Elephas maximus indicus: one gene and its partners. The protein of the gene in region 2 interacts with the protein of the main gene of each other region in a pairwise test. Links are inferred from orthologs where the notes say so. Each region holds a gene or a part of one and is shown on either strand. Other genes may lie near its edges. The genes, in order: SRSF1, NXF1 and GFAP.

Region 1 (7,029 bases), on a different chromosome or scaffold from region 2:
TAATCATTATAGAGACTAATTGGAAGAAGCTATTTATATTTACAGTTCAACTGATAATGCCAACACTTGTTACTGTACAGCGTATTACAGGTTTTGTGGTTGCAAAAAGAGTTATGTAGTTGAAAAGTTTACTGGTATTGCTAAACCCACCTAAGTCTAAACTAAATAATGCTCTCGTCTGCAATTTGTAAATTAAAGTGTTTTAACACGAATCAATTATGAATATTAGTTTAAAGGGAAAGGTGAGACAAAGTATTCCCATCTAGATTATCTACACCAATATGCTGGAATTCTATATTTTGCTTTCATTTTGTCTTAAAAAAAAAAAAAAAATGAAATAGCAACGCTATATCAGTCACACAGAGGACATGCAAATTTAGCAGTATTGATATTATACTCTATCTGGTTGGAATTAAAGACACCCTGTACCCACATGTACACCAACAGCAGGTCACACATTAACAGTTGTAACTAAGCACTATGACAAATTAGCCAGTTCTTCCCACATTAGTCCCTATTAAAACAAAAAAAGGGGGAAAGGAGCAAAATAAATTTGTTACAAAATGGGCAATGTAATTTTGCCACAATTGCCAAATATAAAGAGCAAAGCAATTGTAGCTAAAGGTAACTGCATAAAATGTTTGCAACTGTTTTAAGGTTGATGTATATAATCATTTTTAATCCTTGTCTTTTAGTATAAGGTCAATACTGCCAATTTCATCTGTGACAATAGCACTTGGAGTCATACCATTGCCTCCATTATTGATCTGATCCTCCTCAATCCTCCTTTTGACAATCCTAAAATGATTGAAATGTGCTCCACAATCCTTAATCCAAAGCATTCTTAATCCATCTCTTCAGATATGTCTACAGAAAGACACATGAAAAGGCAAGATAAACATAAGAACTTCCCCAGGTAAGGTAACCACAAACACCCCCAACATCCCAGTTCACACAAACCAGAGCAGAATAGACATTTACACAATATCACAGTCTGAAGAGCATGGAAAGTTAACTAAATTTAAACAATCCTGTCTATGACATCACTTAAAATACAATTTACCAAAGACATGAGGGGAATGTAGATGTTAGGAGCAAGGGGATATTACACAAGAATGCAATTCAACACTTTTCAGCCCATTCTGAACAAAACATTTTGAATTAAAAAATGAAAAGATTGTACTGAGTAAAGGAAAACTGTATACAACATAGGTTCTACAAAAAGTGTCACCAATCATCTTATGTACGAGAGCGAGATCTGCTATGACGGGGAGAATAGCGTGGTGATCCTCTGCTTCTCCTTGGGGAATAACTGCGACTCCTGCTGTTGCTTCTGCTACGGCTCCTGCTACGACTACGGCTTCGAGATCGAGATCTTCCGTAACTTGGACTTCTGGGCCCATCAACTTTAACCCGGATGTAGGCAGTTTCTCCCTATTGGATAGACAGAACTTTCGATTGAAACATCTAAGTTTTCACCTGTCTTCAGGCATGCTGAATGAATACAATGTAACTAATACCAGAAATCTGGTACTTTACTTGGACACCCTTGCCTGAATCCTTACCTTCAAATTCCACTGTTTAAGACCACTGTATCCAATTCTGGCCAAAGAAAAGAATTAAGTGTATAACCTACCTCATGGGATCTAAACTTAGTGTTATCCAGTTTTCGAACAGCATAGGTCATATCTTCTTTCCGTACAAACTCCACGACACCAGTGCCATCTCGGTAAACATCAGCATAACATACATCACCTGCTTCACGCATGTGATCCTTCAAATCTTGCCAGCTTCCACTTGGAGGCAGTCCTGAAAAGTGATTTATTTTTTCAATACTATCCCAAATTTCACGTTAAATTTATAGCGTACACCAGAACAAATACTTAGTGAACGTACTTGAAAGACTCTAGAATCCAGAATCCGAACTGATTTGCAAAGAATACGCATCTTCCTACTCTAGTGCTGCAATCTATTTTGCTGAATTTCTAGTAGTTATACACGCTTACTAAACTCACCCAAAAAACTAATAAAGGATCTGATATGAAATTTTCAGTTGTCAAACCAGTCATGCATGGAAAACTTTAAAGCAGCTCTTGCCCCTTTTTTCATGAACCCACAAAAGCAGTAAGCTTACCAGAGACAACCACTCTGTTCTCAGACCGCCTGGACGGTGGGCCATAGCGGCCTCGGGGAGCTCCACCGCCTCCACCCCCGCCGCCGCCGCGGCCAGTGCCACGGCCGCTTCGAGGAAACTCCACCCGCAGACGGTAACCGTCGTAATCATAGCCATCGCGACCGTACACCGCATCTTCCGCGTCTCTGCGTGATCACAGGAGGCAAAAGGCATGAGAGAAGGAATAGGAAGGGGAAGCCTAACTCAGTCGGGACGTAGCGGCCCCCCGCACATGCGCACCGAAGGCCAAAGAGCCCACATGCGCTACATAATAGGAACGGCCCCTCCCCCACCCAGAAGCACGCCAGGCTCCCGACAACTACAACAGCCCCCGGCGCCTCAGTTTCCCGCTCCAAGCCTGCGAGTCGGCTCCGCAGATATCCACGGGGCCCAGCCACCGGAGAAACTACGCCGACTCGACCCCTTACTCAACTCCTGCATGGGCAATAGCGCCTTTCTCCTCTCAAAAGAGCCTCCCCTAACTATTCCAACCTATTTCGTAAAGACTGCAAGCCCCATGCCGCCTCACCGCGGGTCCTCGAACTCAACGAAGGCGAAGGGCGGTCCCCCGCGACGATTCTTGAGGTCGATGTCGCGGATAGCGCCGTATTTGTAGAACACGTCCTCAATGTCCTTGGTTCGGATGTCTGGAGGTAAGTTACCCACGTAGATGCGGCAATCGTTGTTCCCTGCTGGGCCACGAATCACACCACCTCCCGACATGGCGGCGACGAAAAGCGGCGACGAAAAGCGCGGACTCGAGAACAGGCCTTCCCACCAAGCTTAGCGCACGACAGAGCGAGCCCGCAGCGACACCACGTCTCCCGCGGCCCCTCCAAAATGGCGCCTTTATCTGCTCGGCGCACGGATATGGGGGGGAGGGAGGAAGAGAAGCGGATGGAAGCAGCTATTCGATCTCAATACGCACGCGCAAGTGCGTAACGGACGCATTTGAAAGGACGCATACGCACCCGCGACGTGACCTTCCGCACGAAGAGAAAAAAGTTCCCCGCGCTCCCCAGCTGCGGAGCAGTTTGCCAACGGGGTGATAAGTTGTGTGATAAAAATTAAATACAGAGCACTCGTTAAAGGGGCTATTGATGCCTGTCAGGTCGTCGAGGATAGTCAGGGTCTCCAGGAATGAGCCTCTTTTGGAGCATTTCGGCGCCTTGCTAGAATTTGGTGAAACCTAGCCTAGAGCCTTGTCCCATAATGCTCCGCGAAGTTAACGGCCTTTGGCGGGAAAGACTCCCGGGGGCGGAGTCAAAGGGGGAGGGATCGGCCAGTTGCTCCGGAAACGGGCAAGAGTGCGCCTAGTCCAGGAATTGCGACGCTGGGGAGTTAATAGAGCGCCAGGGCGTAGCCTTGCCTTCCCACCCCGCTGCTTGCAAATAAGCCATGGGCTGTTTAGACACCTGTCTGATTTAGGGGAGTGCATTTCAGGTTCCTTAGTAAGTATTCTGCATTAAGTACCGTTCCATCTTCGGCTCAGAACTTAACTTTGAATAGCTCGATTCAGCACGCCAACTGTTACCGGCGGTATGTGTAGGTCGTACCCTGATCAGTCAGGGGCGGCACTTGCCAACCAGGAAGGGTGTCAACCACCGACCGCACCGCCTCTCATTGATGGCCTATTGCTAGGCCTAGCGGAGAGGAGAGGCGAGGCTCATGAATACTTCAAAAATGGATTGTGCTTGTCATTTTTCCTCCTTTCAAAGAACTAGAAAGAAGTAGTATTTGTAAAATCCTGAAGTTAATCTTGTTTTCAAAAGTTTCCCCTATTAATTATATGCAAGATTTTAAACTCATTCCCATTGGAGACCACAGTTGTTGGGACTGTGATCCTCCTCGAGTGTTGGTTCAGGGAGATAATTTTTTACATTTTTCTAGAGACGCCTGAAATCTGAATTTTTATGTGAGATGTTGGGCTTATTTAAAATGTTGGAAATAAGTTCAAATATAAAAAGCCCTGCAGTGATAAATATGCTAAAAGAGATCTGCACTCTTAAGTTTAAGGATGATTTTCTTCATATTATGTATTTATTTACAACAGCCCTTCTCCCCAAGGATGCAAGGCAGCTTACAGGGATACCATAAAACATTAAAACTGGATGAAGAAATCAGGGGAATGGGAAAATAAGGGGTTAGGGGATTAAGTTGAAGTCCCGGATAAGGTTAGTACACAAAATGTCTGCAGTAAGAGCCTGCAGATAGACTGCAGATTTCACTCTGGTCTTCCTAGAGGCCGCAGTAAAGAAGGGTAGACAAGTATTTTCAAAACCCAAAGTGCCTTGATATAAAAATAGATTAATTGTACAGGAGAAGGGCATGTTTTCTTAGTTCAAATGTCTATCTAAACCAAAAACCAAACCTGTTGCCATCCAGTCCATTCTGACTCATAGCGACCCTATAGGACAGAATAGAACTACCTCATAGAGTTTCCAGGGAGCGCCTGGTGAACTTGAACTGCTGTCCTTTTGGTTAGCAGCCGTAGCTCTTAGTGATCTGAAAATATAAATTTAGTTTGAAATATTGTGAGCAGGAATGCTTACTTTGGGTCTGTAGATCCTCAGCAGATGCATGGAGGACCTGTAGTAGTCCTTGGACTCTTTGTGCTGTGCATGTACTTTTTTCAGGGGGAAAAAAAAAAAAAAGTAAGAGGATTTGAAATTTTAATCACATTCTTAAAGGGGTCTGTAGATATAAAAAAGGGAAGGAACCTCTGAAAATTTTAGAGGAAAGGATAGATTGTCTATCCTTCAGGCTGTCCTTCAACAATATTTTTTGAAACTGAGGTTTTAATAAAAAAGAATCTGATTTTTTTTTTTAATAGAAGAGGCTGATTAAAAAAGATAGCATTTCAACAGATGTATTCAGTTTCTAGCACTCTTCCATTCAGTTAATAGCAGAAGAGGGTTTTAAAAAATTCTTTGGCATTATCATGTACTCATTAGTTCTTTTAACAGTTATTTGCTAAGCACACTTTTCTTTCTGTTCCAATTTTTATCTATTGGTGTACAATTACTCAGGCCTGTCTTGATTCGTGCTAAATCAGTGGTAATTGAAGTGATTTAAACATGTTGTTGTTAGGTGCTGTTGAGTCATTTCCAACTCATAGCAACCCTGTGTACAACAGAACAAAACACTGCATGGTCCTGTGCCATCCTCACAGTTGTTGTTATGTTTGAGCCCATTGTTGTAGCCACCGTGTCAGTCCATCTCATTGAGGGTCTTCCTCTTTTTCATTGACCCTGTACTTTACCAAGCATGATATCCTCCAGGGAATGAACCCTCATGTTGTTGTTGTTAGGTACCATCCCATCGAGTTGGATCTGACTCATAGCGACCGTTTGTATCACAGAATGAAACACTGCCCGGTCCTGCGCCATCCTTACAACCCTTGTTATGCTTGAGCCCATTGTTGCAGCCACTGTCAATCCATCTTGTTGAGGGCCCTCCTCTTTTTCGCTGACTCTCTACTTGACCAAGCGTGATGTCCTCCGGGGATTAATCCTTCCTGACAACATGTCCAAAGTATGTAAGACGCGGTCTCACCATCCTTGCTTCTAAGGAACGTTCTGGTTGTACTTCTTCCAAGACAGATTTGTTCCTTCTTTTGGCAGTCCATGGTATATTCAATATTCTTTGCCAACAGCATAATTCAAAGGTGTCAATTGTCAGTCTTCCTCATTCATTGTCCAGCTTTCACATGCATATGATGTGATTGAAAATACCATGGCTTGGGTCAGGCGCACCTTAATTTTCAAGGTGACAATTTTGATTTCAGCACTTTAAAGAGGTCCTTTGCAGCAGATTTACCCACTGCAACGCATCTTTTGATTTCATGACTACTGCTTCCATGGGTGTTGATTGTGGATGCAAGTAAAATGAAAGCCTTGACAACTTCAGTCTTTTCTCCGTTTATCATGATGTGGTTTATTGATCCAGTTGTGATTTTTGTTTTATGTTGAGGTGTAATCCATACTGAAAGCTGTGGTCTTTGATCTTCATCAGTAAGTGCTTCAAGTCCTCTTCACTTTCAGCAAGCAAGGTTGTATCGTCTGCACAACGCAGGTTGTTAATGAGTCCTCCTCCGATCCTGATGTCCCATTCTTCTTCATATAGTTCAGCTTCTCAGATTATTTGCTCAGCATACAGAGTAAATAGGTACGGGTGCTTTTAATTTCAAGACATTTTCATGCCGAAAAAATTAGAAAACCGTGCATTTGTTTTGGTTTATTCTCGTTTGTCCAATTTAATGAAATTATTTCTGATTTTGTTTGGTTCAGAGGAATACAAGATAAAGCTTAATAGATGTGAATAGAGTATTGTTGTTTATCTATTAGCCTCTTTTTTATATTTTAATTTAACCAAATTGTAGGTGATGGGCTTAGGGCATGGTAGGAAGAGGTCTCTTAGGATAACATTAACTTGATGATTGCTGCAATTAAGGAGGTGATCTTAATGTTATCATGTCCTGGAGTTGATTAAGATATTTCAGTCTACAAGCGTCAACATACAATAATGCAAATAAACCAAACTATTTATTCATTTAGGAACTCTGGTGGCCCAGTGGTTAAGCACTAGGCTGCTAACTGAAAAGTTGGCAGTTTGATCCCACTAGCTGCTCCGAGGGAGAAAGTTGTGGCAGTCTGCTTTTGTAAAGATTATAGCCTTGGAAACCCAAACCCTGTGGGAAAGTTCTACTTTGCCCTGTAGGGTTGCTATGAGTTGGAATCAACTCGATGGCAACGTGTTTGGTTTTTTGGTATTTATTCATTTGTTGGGGGGTAAGGCATATTTATTTTTCATGACCCGGATGCTGATATTGTACGTGCCAACAATGTACAACTGGT
Region 2 (6,935 bases):
TGAAATAAACAGGAAACGCTTTCACTGTGAGCCCAGCCCCCGTCTCCCCTACACCACCTACTTCTTTTCCAAGGTACTCACTGTAATCTTGAACCAGTTCTTCGAGGTCCCATCCTGGCTGGTGCCAGCCGCCCCCCTTTCTGGAGGAGCTCTGTCTCTCCGCACAGTGACGTGGATACGGCCTCGATCGTGCCAATTATCACCGCGACGGTTGGGTCGGGCAGCATAAGGGTTGCTGTGAGGAAAAAAATGTCCGTAAGTGCTAGAAAATTCTTCTCAAAGGCCTCCACACTGTTATCATGGCTAGAGCTGAGGGTGTTCAACCATTAAGCCGATTCTGGCATTTCTCATCCTTCAAAATGGGAAAGAGAAGGGGTATGGACAGTAAGAGAGCTGCAGAATCTGATGGGTCACTAAATTTCAGCCAGACCAACTGGTCACTTACTATCGTACTCGGGGACCATCCTGGGCATCAACCATCGCCACATCGCCATCATCTTCCCCAAGGCGAGAAGACCGAGTACCAGAACCGCCTCTTCCAGAGCGACGGTTCCCCTCGCCATAATTCCAACGGAAAGGACCCCGGCCTTTTCTTCTTCGAGGTAAACTAACACGGTCATCGTGCTCTGGAATCGGAAACAGGAACACAAATTAGTTAGAAACACATCAGTAGTCCAGATACCCTGGTGTGGCAATCACAGTATTTGTCACCCTGTACTACTAGACGAGATACATATAACAGAGGCCACCTCCACACAAACCCCTCTGCCTGTCTAAAGAGCCCTCTCTGAGAGATGGCATCTTCAAGGAAAAATTCTTGGCAAACTGTGTTTAAAAACCAAACTCGTTGCTGCAGAGTCTATTCCAAGTCCTAGCGACCCTATAAGGACAGAACAGAAGTGTCCAATAGAGATTCCAAGGCTGTAAATCTTTACAGCAGCAGACTGCCACATCTTTCTCCCGTGGAGCAGCTGATGGGTTCGAACTGCAAAACTTCTGGTTAGCTGCTGAGTGTTTTAACCACTGCACCACCAGGGAAAACTGTGTAGGGCTTTCGAAAATGACAGCAGAATTTCGTACTACAGAAAGGAGAAGCAGGCTGTGGAAATGTGGGTAATCCAAAAGTATAAGTGGACACAAATCAGACCCCCAAAGTCACTTAAAGTTCCTGCTTTCTCTCAGCCTCCCAGGTCTACTCAGTGTAACCTGATTTCTCTCACACCTCCTAACCTAACCAATCACAATGATGACATCAGCTTTTGGTAAATCGTACTTTTTACCAAATGTCAACCCCAAATATGACCAATTTTAGGGCCACCTTAAAAAATCTCCCTGCTCTCAAACTGCCACTCTGAAGTTTTGTGAATGAGTCCTCCATTTCCTTTGCCTGAAATGCCTTTAGCTGTGGGGACAGCTCCTAGACTCAGGCTCGAGTGGCGGCTCCAGCCTAGGACAGATGCTCAACAAAGGAGCCTGGAATGAGCTCCAGGGACATGATTCTCTGAATCCAGATGTGTAGGAATAGCTTTTAAGAAACGGTCCATGACTCCCCAAGAAGGTCTACCTAACGCCTGGTATCCTCCAACCAAGAAGATCTGCCTAATGCCTAGTATCCTCCGACCAGTGAACCCCAACAAACTGACCCAGGGAAGGAAGAAAAAAAAAAAGAATAACAACAGCAGCTCACATTCACTGCACGTTTTCTCCAGTCTAAACACTATGCTCCAGGAACTTGACTTGAACCATCTCATTTAAGCGCACACACACACACACCTTAGGAGTTAGATACTATTATTACCTTATTACAGATAACGGAAGACAAGGCCTGAGTTTAATTAACTCACTCAAGCTTGGTGCAGCCAAATCAGGATTCAAACCTCGGCTGTCATGCACTCCTAACCACTGTTGGTTGTTAGGTGCCCTCAAGTCAGTTCCGACGCAGCAACCCTAGGTACCACAGAACAAAACACTGCCTGATCCTGCGCCATCCTCACAATCATGGCTACGTTTGAGCCACTGTGTCAATCCACCTTGTTGAGGGTCTCCTCTTTCTGACTGATCCTCTACCAAGCATGATCTCCTTCTCCAGGGACTGATCCCTCCTGATAATGTGACTGAAGTACATGAGATGAACTCTCGCCATTCTTGCTTCTAACGAGCGTTCTGGCTGTACTTCTTCCAAAACAGACTTGTTCGTTCTTCTGGCAGTCCGTGGTATATTCGATATTCTTTGCGAACACCATAATTCAAAGGCCTCGCTTCTTCTTTCATCTTCCTTATTCTTTGCCCAGCTTTCGCATACACATAAGACGTTTGAAAATACCACGGCTTGGGTCAGGCGCACCTTAGTCTTCACAGCGACATCTTTGCTTTTTAACACTTTAAGATGGTCTTTGGCACAGATCTGCCCGATGCAATACGTCGTTTTTGATTCATGAACACTACGCTGGACTAAACCCAGGAGATCAGAATATCGAGGTGGTGTATAGGTGGTCTACGACATTAAGCTCAAACGGCAGGAAGAGGTACGATACCGACTACACGCGGTAGAAAACTGGGCACCACGGCAGCCCAGATACACTGAGTCACATTAAAGGAAGAGTCGGGCCGCCAAACTGAACTGACAGGCATCAACCACCCACAGTTCAAAGGAATCCTGTCACCCCACCCTGAGCCACCCGCTTCGAGCCGCAGGTCCTCACGCCAGGATTCCCGAGTCAACAACCCCGGCGCCCACCTCGAGTGCGGCTGGGGCCTCCCGAGGCCGCCTCGCCCCCGGCCCGCCCGCCCCGCGCCCTTCCCCACGGACGCCGGGCCCCTCGCGGCCTCACGCCCCGGCGCTGAGGCCTAGGCCGGCGCCGCCCACCCCGGCCCCGGATCGCCCCGCTCCGCCGCCCGAGGACCAGCACTCACCGCTGTACGACTTCCCCTCGTCGGCCATGGCGCTGCGACAAGCAGGGACGCTCAGGCGCGGGCCACCAAACGTCCGAACGCCCAGGCACCCAGGCCGAAACACCTCTACGCCCGGCACCGCCGCATTTGCCCGGAGGAGCACGTCGCGCGCCGCCGACGTCCCCAGTTGGTGGGCGGGGCCGCCGGGACTAGCGCAGCGCACTGCGCGTGCGCAAACGGCAGGACGCGGCTGGGGGCGGGGCCGGCTCCGAGGGCTGCGCTTTCGGAGCCCGGAATCCCAGGCCCATTCACCCGCCACCTTCTTCGAACGTCGGCCGGCGCTCCTCCGGCACCTCCGGGGCAGTGGCGGGTTAACCGGTAAGCACGGTATGCACGGGGTTAACTTTGCGTACTAATCTGTAGTGCACAGTTTCATCTGGGGTTCATGTCGAACGCAGGTGAAATTGCGCCCTAGATTGGTAATGAAGCACAGCGAAGCCCGCGAGTACCCTGTTTATTGAGTTAATCCGTCCTGCTCGAGTTAGCGCGGGAGCAGCGAACAGCCCAACGGCCTCGAGGCTGCTCCAGCCCAGGACTCGGAGAGAAATGGGGAAGAAGGGTCGCGCCAAGGGCTTCCGAGGAACTGGAGACCGGACCCCGGAGTGGGATTTCTCTCTCACGGACACCTAGCAGGATCCAGCCATTTGACCAAGTTTTAGCCCATCCCCTTACCAGCAGGGACCTTGAGCCTGGTTTTTCTCACCCATAAAATGTGTTAATAACCACGAAATTGAACACCGGAATCTAATGAGAACACATGAATGAATGACAGCAGGGACCATGACTTAATTCATGCTTTTTTTCCCTCCAACTCCTGGCCCAGTACCATGCCTGGCACACAGCAGGAACTCAAATATTTGTGAAGTAAATTTCCCTTCTAAGCATCCCTCTCCTGGAAGAGTTACCAAGTCAAATGAGGCTGCGTGTATGCCGGGCTTTAGCAAACACTTCACAAATGTCCCCAACCACTATGCACTGTGCTAGGCCCACGTCATATGTCAACTGGGCAGACAACGAAGGTGCAAGCAAGACCACTTGCTTAAGAGAGGCCACAGCCAAAACCAAACTCACCGCTGTGACTCGATTCTGACTCATACTAACCCTACAGGACAGAACTGCCCCATTGGGTTTCCAAGGCTGTCATCTTCACAGAGGCAGACCGCCACATCTTTCTCCTGTGCAACAGCTGGTGGGTTCGAACTGCCGATCTTTCAGTTAGCAGCTGAGTGCTTAACCACTGTGCCGCCAGGGCCCCTTGAAAAGAGGCCAAGGGGCAAGGAATTATTAAAATGCCAGGGTGAAAAAAGCCAGGGGCTCCCCTAGGCCCCAAGGTACTAGGACAGATCCTGAGTAGGATGACTGGAGTCTCTATAGCTCGAGTTTCCTTTGGGATGTCTGAAAGACGGACTCCAGTGATCTCAGAATGGTGTGGTTGTGGGTTCTGGTCAGGAAGGTCAAAGCAGCCTATCAACCTCCCTGGAGGATGGGTATACTGGCAGTTTTCTCCTCTGTTCTTTGACTGGCTTCAATTTGGCGAGGGCTTGGAGAAAACACAGAGCCTCAGCTGGAGCAGGGCATATAGCACTTCATTATTTGGTACTGACAGCAGGCAGAGCTCCTGCCTCAACCAGCTCAGAGAAGAACTGAGGTCAACTGGTTGGAGGATGCAGATGGAATCAGTCCACACACTGTTCGAGATGGTCTCAGAGTTGGCCACCAATCACCCACTCTGGGATCCAGCTCCTCCTTTTGAAAGAAGTTTCATGCTAATGAGGTGCTGTTGCATTTGGTTCTCTGCTCCCTGGAGGCGGCTGTGTGTACAGAGCTCAGAGGCTGCCACAGTCGGCCTTGGGGCCCCTTGGAGCCATCAGCGCAACCCTTTCAGTTTTGGTACTGGGCAGTGGTCTCACCCACTTGCTGCCTAGGCCCTTCGACGCTCCCACCCAGAAATGACAACATGGCTATTGAGGCTGACAGTCTTGCTGTAATTGGGAGAAAATGGGCTGCAGTGCATTTGGCAGATTGAGAGTCACGAGCAGCCATGTTGGGGTTTGTGCAGGCAGCCGAGGGGCTCAGGACCCCCAGCCTCACATGGTGAAGAAAGGAAGAAGAAAGAGGTCAAGTTCTAACCCAGATGGGAAAGTTGGTCCCTGGGACAGTTTCTCTTCCTCTCCTCACTCTCAGGAAGGTGGGGGGAAGGGCATCATTTCCCCTTGCTGCCAAAGTTTCCTTTAGGAGAGGCTGGGGAGGATTTAGAAAAACTCATAGTAGAGACAGCCTCTCCCACTGGCCCCCAGCTGGCCTTTGCTCCCTTCCAGTCACTTCACAGCAGAGTCCAAATCCAGAACCGTGTGTGTTTTGTGGGTTGAGGATGGTGAGGATGGACAGGGTAGCCAGAGGCAAGATGGGGGGGGGGGGGGACGTTGTCAAGGGGCAGTGGCCATTCTTAGCAGTTCCAGGGAAACAGGGCCTTTCTCCCAAGCACCCTGCACAGGCTCAGTGGCAGCACTGGCCACCTGCCTTCCCGGGAGGGCTCCAAACCCCCATGGAGTGCCTTAAGAGTAGAGAGGGCTCAGGCAAGGAAGACCACAAAGATGATGAAGAAGACAATGAGGATGAGGAAGATTTTGACCATGAGCCACCGATTGGAGGTGACTGACTGGAAGTACTTGAGGATCTCTGAGTGGGCGGCCTCAACATCCAGCTGGGCTCCTAGCACGTTCTCGTCGATCCTGGGGACAGGCCGGGAGGAAAGGAAACAGGACACTGGATTAAAAAGAATGCTGTTGAGGTGTATTTATTGACATGGAAAGATGGTCACAATATGTGGGGACAAAAAGGGTTTATATACAATATGATACCTTTTTTTGTATCTATTACGGGGCATAAAAAAGGCTCGGGAGGGCTACATAACCAAGTCTTAGCTCTGGTTTGAAAACCGGCTCTGTACTTATTAGCTTATGACCCTAAGCCAGTCACTTAACCTCATGTCTCATTTTCCTCATCTGCAAAATGAGGGTATCCCACACCCTACCTCTCAGGCTGTTGTCAGTCTAAAATAAATCAACAAATATAAAGTGCCTAATCCATAGTAAAGGTGCCCCAGTGATGCAACGGTTAAGTGCTCAGCTACTAATGAAAAGGTTGGTGGTCAGAACCCACCCAGCAGCTCCACAGGAGAAAAAACTAGCAATCTCCTCTGGTAAAGATCATAGCTCAGAAAACCCTATGGGACAGTCCTGCTCTGTCGTGTGGGGTTGCTATGAATCACAATCAACAACCCATGGGTAAGATCCCTCAAAATGTTAGCTGTAATTTTTGGCTCATCAGTACTTACTCATTTCTGTCTAATAAATATATGCTCATTTATAATAGGGAAAAAAGTTCACAGACCATCAGAGTCAGGAAATCCTGGTTCTGAGTGAGAGAAGAAGAGAAATTTAATGTGGACAGGAAGTCAGGGGATGAGAAAAGGCCTACTGGGAGAACATGTCTCTGAGAATGGAAGTACGAGGTAAGAACTGTAAGGTGTTAATTACGTCAGTGCCAGCAGTTTCAGTTGAAGGGCTTAGGAACAATTTTATAGCAGGCTGAAGCAGAAAAGGGGGATAAGGAAACAGAAAATGTAGACAAGCATATGCAAAAGAAACTGAAACTTGAAAGGATGAAAATTTTCCAATAGACATAGACATCCTTCGGTTTAGAGAATTAGGTGTTCTTACATATAGAGAAGTTCTTAGAGGAAGGGCAATCTCTTGAGAAAGTCCCGAGGAAAATAAAGGATTTCCCAGTCAATCTGCATATGCAATCCTAAAAACCAAATAGAAATCCTTATCTTTGCAAAAGTAGTCCCTGTGAGCGGACACACTTGTGGGCTACAAGTACAAAGAATGTGGTGGAGCCTGGCACTCCTGCTGGGAAGTGAGAGGAGAGGGTGGCCCAGTGGCTGCCAGTTCCCAGTCCTGAGAAGGTGGTCATGAAGA
Region 3 (7,316 bases), on a different chromosome or scaffold from region 2:
GGACCGGTACCACTCCTCTGCCTCATGCATGTTGCTGGATGCCACTGCCTCGTACTGCGTGCGGATCTCTCTCAAGGCCGCTGTGAGGTCTGGCTTGGCCGTGTCCACCTCCACGTGGACCTGCTGCTGGGCCAGCTGCTCCTGGAGCTCCCGTACCTCCTGGCCAGCGTGAGAAAAGTCCCAGGGCTTAGGACTCAGGCGACAGCCAGGGTTTCCTGCAGCATCATGCCCTCTTGGACATGGACACAGCTAAGGGAATTGGGGCAGCCCTAGTTGGAGAAAGTGGCACGGCCCAGGCTAAGGGAGACACGGGATGGTTTGGGGCTTCATGGTGTCCTCTTCCCAGAGCTGGACAGGCCGGAGCTGGCTCTGAGAGTGTGCCTGCATTCTTGGGGGACAGTGACTATATTTCTGTGAATGGGGGTGCCTGTGTTCCTGATTCCATGGCAACATGGATTCTGAATCTATGATCTGAGGCCAGAGCTCAGGGGTTCTTATAAGTGGCTGTCATTTTAAGGGAGACAGATGGCAGAGGGGGGTTGGAGTCAAACTAGCTAGGTGACCTTACCAAGTGTCTTAACCCCTCTGCACCTCAGTGTCCTAATCTGTGAAGAGGGGATGATACTGGAATGGATTCTACTTCATTGGGCTGTTGTGAAGGAAAAAAAAAAAAAATGAGGCAATAGGACCCATCGTAACACTCAGTAAATGGAGTTGGGGCGTTGAGTGTGTGCGTTTTACTAGGGGTTGGATACTCTTGTCTGTCTCTCTCTCTTAGTCTCTCTCTGTATCTGTCTCTCTGTCTCTCACTCTGTTTCTCTCTCATTCTGTTTCTCTATCAGTCAATACCAAAATGACGGCTCAGAGCGTCTTTCTCCATCTCTGTCCATTTCAGTCTCTGTTTTGGGCCCTCCTCCCTCTGCCCTGGCCTCACCTCCTCATGGATCTTCCTCAGGAACCGAATCTCCTCCTCCAGTGACTCAATCTTCCTCTCCAGATCTAAGCGGGCCAGGGTGGCTTCATCTGCCTCCTGGAATGGGGAGGAGACAAAGGGCCACTTGGACCCCAGACTCTTCCTCCACATTTCCCAGCCTTGTTTATCCCTTCTTCGGGGACCAGGGGGGAGCAGCACATTGCTCTGGAGGGCTGGGCTGGGGGGGCTCTGTTGGAGTGGGCTGCCTGCAAGCCTATCCCTCCTCCCTGCCCCACCCCTCCACCTCCCTGACCTGTCGATAGGCAGCCAGATTATTCTCCGCATCCAGCCTCAGGTTGGTTTCGTCCTGGAGTCTGGGGTGGGAAAGACACATTCCTGGGTCCAAGCTCTTCTGAGGACTCTCGGGTCTCTCCCCAGGCTCCCAGGACTGGTAGAGTGGCAGGAGAGCCAGGGTCAGAGGGGTCCTAGACAGAGGACTTGACAAGCAGGGTGAGCAGTCCAGGGACTTTGCTTTAACTCATTACCAAGGGGCCTTATCAGAGTTGGTGGACCTGCTCCCGCTCAGGCAGGCACATCCACAGCACCTGCTGCTGCTGTGTGCACAAACACACACTCCTCCTGCACTTGCAGGCCATCCTGCATGCCCTGCCAGCTCAGCAAACATCGTGTCCCTGCGGCTTCTCAGACCCTGGGCAAATAACTATTGAAATAGGGTTTATTATGACCCCCACTTCAAGGCTGCACAGGTTGAGGTGGCTTGCTTAAGGTCACAAGGTGATGATAGGCAGAGTGTGTTCTGAAGCCAGGCCTGCCTGCAGTTTCCCCTGCCTCCTTCCCCTCCCCATTCTCCTTGTAGACACCCACCTTCTCCCCTTTTCACACCTCCTCTATATAGACCCAGGCTCAGAAAAGGCGAACGCCCTGCCTGCAGTCAGGAGGCCCAGCAGTGGATGAAACTGAAAGACCCCACCCACTCAGGTCTCTGCCATGCGTTCCCCTGGTTGGGAGGTGCTAAGAGTACCTGGACTGATCTTCTGAGGTGTTAGGCCTCTCCCTGGTCCCTCCCACTGTATGGTGGAACAAGGATCGCCTTCTTGTCCCAGAGGTGGAGAAACCCAGGGAGCAAGGAGGCAGAGCCCTGCACCCAAGATCCTTGCAGGCCCGTGGCACCCCTCTCAGGAGCTCAGTCCCCCTGCTCAAGAACCCCTCTCTTCGGTACCCGTCCTCACTTCTGCCTCAGGGTGCCCAGGTCCTGCGCCAGGTTGTCCCTCTCCGCCTCGAGCCGGGCACTGTTGGCGGTGAGCTGGTCGAGCCGCAGCCGCAGCTCACGCAGTTCTGCCTGGTAGACATCGGCCAGCTTGGTGGGCTCCTTGGCCCGTAGCTGGTTCAGCTCGGCAGCCAGTGCCTTGTTCTGCTGCTCCAGGAAGCGCACTTTCTCAATGTAGCTGGCAAAGCGGTCATTGAGCTCCATCATCTCAGCCCGCTCGCTGGCCCGTGTCTCCTTGAAGCCGGCATTGAGTGCCCCAGCCAGGGAGAAGTCCACCCGGGTCGGGAGTGGAGGGGGCATTCGGGCCAGAGAGAGGCGGGTGCCAGGCCCCAGGCGGCGGCCGGGACCCAGGCTCCCCACCATGGTCTCTGAGGAGGAGACATAGGAGCGGCGGGCCGCCGAGGTGATGCGTCTCCGCTCCATCAGGGCCGGGCTCTGCCTGCTTCTGGCATCTGAGAGCTTTATGGAGGAGTGGGCTGGCCTGGCACTGCCCAGGCTGCCCTGGCAACACCGCTTGGCATGGCCTGAGGGGGTGGGGTTGGGCCGCAGCCCAGCCATGGGGAGAGCTCCTCTCACCCCACCGAGGTCACTGTGCCCAGAGGCAGGGCTTCCTGGGCATGCCAGCCCTGGCCTGGGCCACAGTCAGGGAGGGGCACTGATGGGTAGTGCCTGGGACCAGGTTCTGGGTCTAGGGCCCTAGCCACTGGACAAGGAGACCCCCTTTCTAGGAAGGTGGGTCAAGAAGGGGCTGAATCAGGGGACATCTAACCTACCTTCTAACTCTCAAATTCCATCACCCAGGCATCCCCTCACCCATCGAGTGCCTGCTTGATGATGGGAATTTGGCGAATAACAAACCTGTTCCAGACTCTCAAGGAACAGCTTATGTTACAGTTTCCTACCCAGCCCCCTTCCTGACAGCTTCCTGGACATCCTCCCCTCTGGACACAGACATCTGCCATTCCCACTTCCTCACCCTTCCCAGGAGTTCTGGGGCTGGGAGCTGGACTGGACTCCAGCCCTTTGTTTGGACGGTCAGCTGAGTCTCTATCTAGCAGTTGGGGGTTGACAGAAGAGGCTTTGGGGATCCCGGTATGGAAGAGGGCCCAACACTGTACTCCCGACCCTCTCCCTGGGCCACTCTTGAGACCCCGCCTGGCCTCATTGTACTCCCTTCCTGAGCCTTGACAGCTCCACAAAGGAGTTACCAATGACCTGGCTGTCCCTGCTCACATCTTTGTTGTTGTGACACCCTGTTTCCCTGGCCACCCCCTCATTCTCCTGCTGGAGATGTATCACCTTTGAGTTCCCACACATCAGGCTGGGAAGATGGGAAAAGCCTCCAGGGATGGGTAAGTTTGGGAAATCGGGAGCCACTGTGTATAGGCCGGGAGCCAGGTCCACCTCTTCCCCCTGCCCAGCCCCTTGCCAATATGTGTCCTTGGACCTCTGGGAAGCGGATAGCCCTCCATGCCCCCCCCCCCATCGCCATAGCCCACTGTCCATGCCTGGGCCTCCCATTCCTTTCCCCAGGCACTTGCTGAAAGGAGCCTTGTTCTCCACTGCTGGTGAGGGTGCCACACTTCAAGGGCAGCCCCCCAGGGGGCTGTGCTGCTTTTTTCCCAAGATGGCAGGCTGTCAGGCCAGGGCGCAGCCTGAGCCCTCTGCTCAATGAGTTTCTCGGAAAGCATCTGAGGGGGCTGGGTGCAGCGGGAAGCAGGCTCTGTGCCCACCCCGTACCATTGTGTCTGTGCCAAGGTGAGTCATCCAGTGGGCATGAGGGAAAGGCCCTGGGGGTGGCCAGCTCGGCACTGCCAGGTCTCCAGCTTGCCAGAGGAGGCTGCCCGCTCCTCCTCAGCTCTCAGCCAGCTCAGGCCCTTGAGCCTCTGTCCGGGTAATACCCCCCACCACACACCGGGTATTTGCTGCCTGCTAGGGCCAGACATGAGGGCTTCCCCTGAGAGTCCCAGCTCTGAGGGGCAGAGGTGAGAGTTCCTGAGTCTCTAGCCACATGTAACTCTGAGTCTTGACCAGTAGCATGGGGAGGGTCATCGTTAGGAGGGGGCACCCACTGACCTTTGATCCTGCTGGGCTGGGGAGCTGGGAACAGATGGAGGCTTTAAAGGAAGAGCAAGACTGCGGATGAATCCTTGTGCTATTCATCCTTGTCCCAATTTTCTGTGGCGAGGAGGGTGGCTTGCCCTTCCATGTTGCTGGGCAAGTCACAGTGTGCGGTCTCCCCTTTTTGTTCAAGTAAATCTATTTGAAAGGAGTACAAGACAATCCTGGAGAGAAAAGATGTAACAAAAGCAGGAAGGACTTGTCAGTGAAGTCGGGTGAATTGTGCCTGTATATATGAGACACGGTGTCTGTCAGTTTGTCATACCATGGGGGCTTGTGTGTTCCTGTGATGCTGGAAGCTATGCCACTGGTATTCAGATACCAGCAGGGTCACCCATGGAGGACACGTTTCAGCTGAGCTTCCAGACTAAGACAGACTAGGAAGAAGGATCCAGCAGTCTACTTCTGAAAAGCATTAGCCAGTGAAAACCTTATGAATAGCAGCGGAACATTGTCTGATATAGTGCTGGAAGATGAGCCCCTCAGGTTGGAAAGCACTCAAAAGATGACTGGGGAAGAGCTGCCTCCTCAGAGTGGAGTCGACCTTAGTGACATGGATGGAGTAAAGCTTTCAGGACCTTCATTTGCTGATGTGGCATGACTCAAAAGGAGAAGAAACAGCTGCAAACATCCATTAATTATCGGAACCTGGAATGTACGAAGTATGAATCTTGGAAAATTAGAAATCGTCAAAAATGAAATGGAACACATAAACATCGATATCCTAGGCATTAGTGAACTGAAATGGACTGGTATTGGCCATTTTGAATTGGACAATCATATAGTCTACTATGCTGGGAATGACAACTTGAAGAGGAATGGTGGTGTATTCATCGTCAAAAAGAACATTTCGAGGTGTATCCTGAAGTACAATGCTGTCAGTGATAGGATAATATCCATACGCCTACAAGGAAGACCAGTTAATACAACTATTATTCAAATATACGCACCAATCACTAGGGCCAAAGACGAAGACATAGAAGATTTTTATCAGCTGCTGCAGTCTGAAATTGATCGAACATGCAATCAAGATACATTGATAATTACTGGTGATTTTAATGTGAAAGTTGGAAACGAAGAAGGATCAGTAGTTGGAAAATATGGCCTTGGTGATAGAAGCAATGCTGGAGATTGAGTGATAGAATTTTGCAAGACCAACGACTTCTTCATTGCAAATACCTTCTTTCACCAACATAAACGGCAACTATACACATGGACCTCGCCAGATGGAACACACAGAAATCAAATTGACTACATCTGTAGAAAGAGACGATGGAAAAGCTCAATATCATCAGTCAGAACGAGGCCAGGGGCCGACTGTGGAACAGACCATCAATTGCTCTTATGCAAATTCAAGCTGAAACTGAAGAAAATCAGAGCAAGTCCATGAGAGCCAAAATATGACCTTGAGTATATCCCTCCTGAATTTAGAGACCATCTGAAGAATAGATTTGATGCATTGAACATTGGTGACCAAAGACCGGACGAGTTGTGGAATGACATCAAGGACATCGTACATGAAGAAAGCAAGAGGTCATTGAAAAGACAGGAAAGAAAGAAAAGACCAAGATGGATGTCAGAGGAGACTCTGAAACTTCCTCTTGAATGTCGAGCAGCTAAAGCAAAAGGAAGAATTGATGAAGTAAAAGCACTGAACAGAAGATTTCAAAGGGCCTCTCGAGAAGACAAAGTATTATAATGACATGTTCAAAGAGCTGGAAGTGGAAAACCAAAAGGGAAGAACACGCTCAGTGTTTCTCAAGCTGAAAGAACTGAAGGAAAAATTCAAGCCTCGAGTTGCAATAGTGAAGGATTCTATGGGGAAAATATTAAATGACTCAGGAAGCCTCAAAAGAAGATGGAAGGAATACGCAGAGTCATTATGCCAAAAAGAATTAGTCCATGTTCAACCATTTCGAGAGGTAGCATATGATCAGGTACCGATAATACTGAAGGAAGAAGTCCAAGCTGCTCTGAAAGCATTGGCGAAAAACAAAGCTCCAGGAATTGATGGACTATCAATTGAGATGTTTCAGCAAACAGATGCAGCACTGGAGGTGCTCACTCGTCTATGCCAAGAAATATGGAAGACAGCTTCCTGCCCAACTGACTGGAAGAGATCCATATTTATGCCTATTCTCAAAAAAGGTGATCCAACCGAATGTGGAAATTATAGAACAATATCATTAATATCACATGCAAGCAAAATTTTGCTGAAGATCATTCAAAAATGGCTGTAGCAGTATATCGACCAGGAACTGCCAGAAATTCAGGCTGGTTTCAGAAGAGGATGTGGAACCAGGGATATCGTTGCTGATGTCAGATGGATCCTGGCTGAAAGCAGAGAATACCAGAAGGATGTTTCTCTGTGTTTTATTGACTATGCAAAGGCATTCGACTGTGTGGATCATAACAAATTATGGACAGCATTGCAAAGAATGGGAATTCCAGAAGACTTAATTGTGCTCATGAGGAACCTTTACATAGATCAAGAGGCAGTTGTTCAGGCAGAACAAGGGGACACTGATTGTCTTAACGTCAGGAAAGTTGTGCACCAGGGTGGTATTCTTTCACCATACCTATTCAATCTGTATGCTGAGCAAATAATCCGAGAAGCTGGACTATATGAAGAAGAACGGGGCATCAGGATTGGAGGAAGACTTATTAACAACCTGCGTTATGCAGATGACACAACCTTGCTTCCTGAAAGTGAAGAGGACTTGAAGCACTTACTAATGAAGATCAAAGACCACAGCCTTCAGTATGGGTTGCACCTCAACATAAAGAAAACAAAAATCCTCACAACTGGACCAAGGAGCAACATCGTGATAAACAGAGAAAAGATTGAAGTTGTTAAGGATTTCATTTTACTTGGATCCACAATCAACAGCCATGAAAGCAGCAGTCAAGAAATCAAAAGACCCATTGTATTGGGTAAATCTGCTGCAAAGGACGTCTTTAAAGTGTTGAAGAGCAAAGATGTCACCTTGAAAA

What was found.
Region 1: the proteins of NXF1 (region 2) and SRSF1 interact in binary tests that used the Homo sapiens proteins (3 or more experiments, as listed by UniProt). The link is inferred for Elephas maximus indicus from reciprocal best matches to the Homo sapiens genes NXF1 and SRSF1.
Region 3: the proteins of NXF1 (region 2) and GFAP interact in a two-hybrid assay, tested with the Homo sapiens proteins (3 studies listed by BioGRID and IntAct). The two-hybrid records come from large-scale screens. The link is inferred for Elephas maximus indicus from reciprocal best matches to the Homo sapiens genes NXF1 and GFAP.

What each region holds. Positions count from the first base shown.
Region 1 is NC_064837.1:36,041,597-36,048,625, reverse strand, and holds the start of SRSF1 (serine/arginine-rich splicing factor 1), read right to left. Parts: upstream 3,034-7,029; 5' UTR 2,897-3,033; coding exon 2,703-2,896; intron 2,320-2,702; coding exon 2,135-2,319; intron 1,810-2,134; coding exon 1,637-1,809; intron 1,435-1,636; coding exon 1,240-1,434; 3' UTR 1-1,239. UniProt on the Homo sapiens protein: Plays a role in preventing exon skipping, ensuring the accuracy of splicing and regulating alternative splicing.
Region 2 is NC_064825.1:125,954,448-125,961,382, forward strand, and holds the start of NXF1 (nuclear RNA export factor 1), read right to left. Parts: upstream 3,094-6,935; 5' UTR 2,942-3,093; coding exon 2,914-2,941; intron 627-2,913; coding exon 446-626; intron 236-445; coding exon 82-235; intron 1-81. Other genes in the region: STX5 (syntaxin-5), read right to left, coding at 5,525-5,684.
Region 3 is NC_064837.1:51,332,616-51,339,931, forward strand, and holds the start of GFAP (glial fibrillary acidic protein), read right to left. Parts: upstream 3,014-7,316; 5' UTR 2,760-3,013; coding exon 2,164-2,759; intron 1,288-2,163; coding exon 1,227-1,287; intron 1,031-1,226; coding exon 935-1,030; intron 160-934; coding exon 1-159.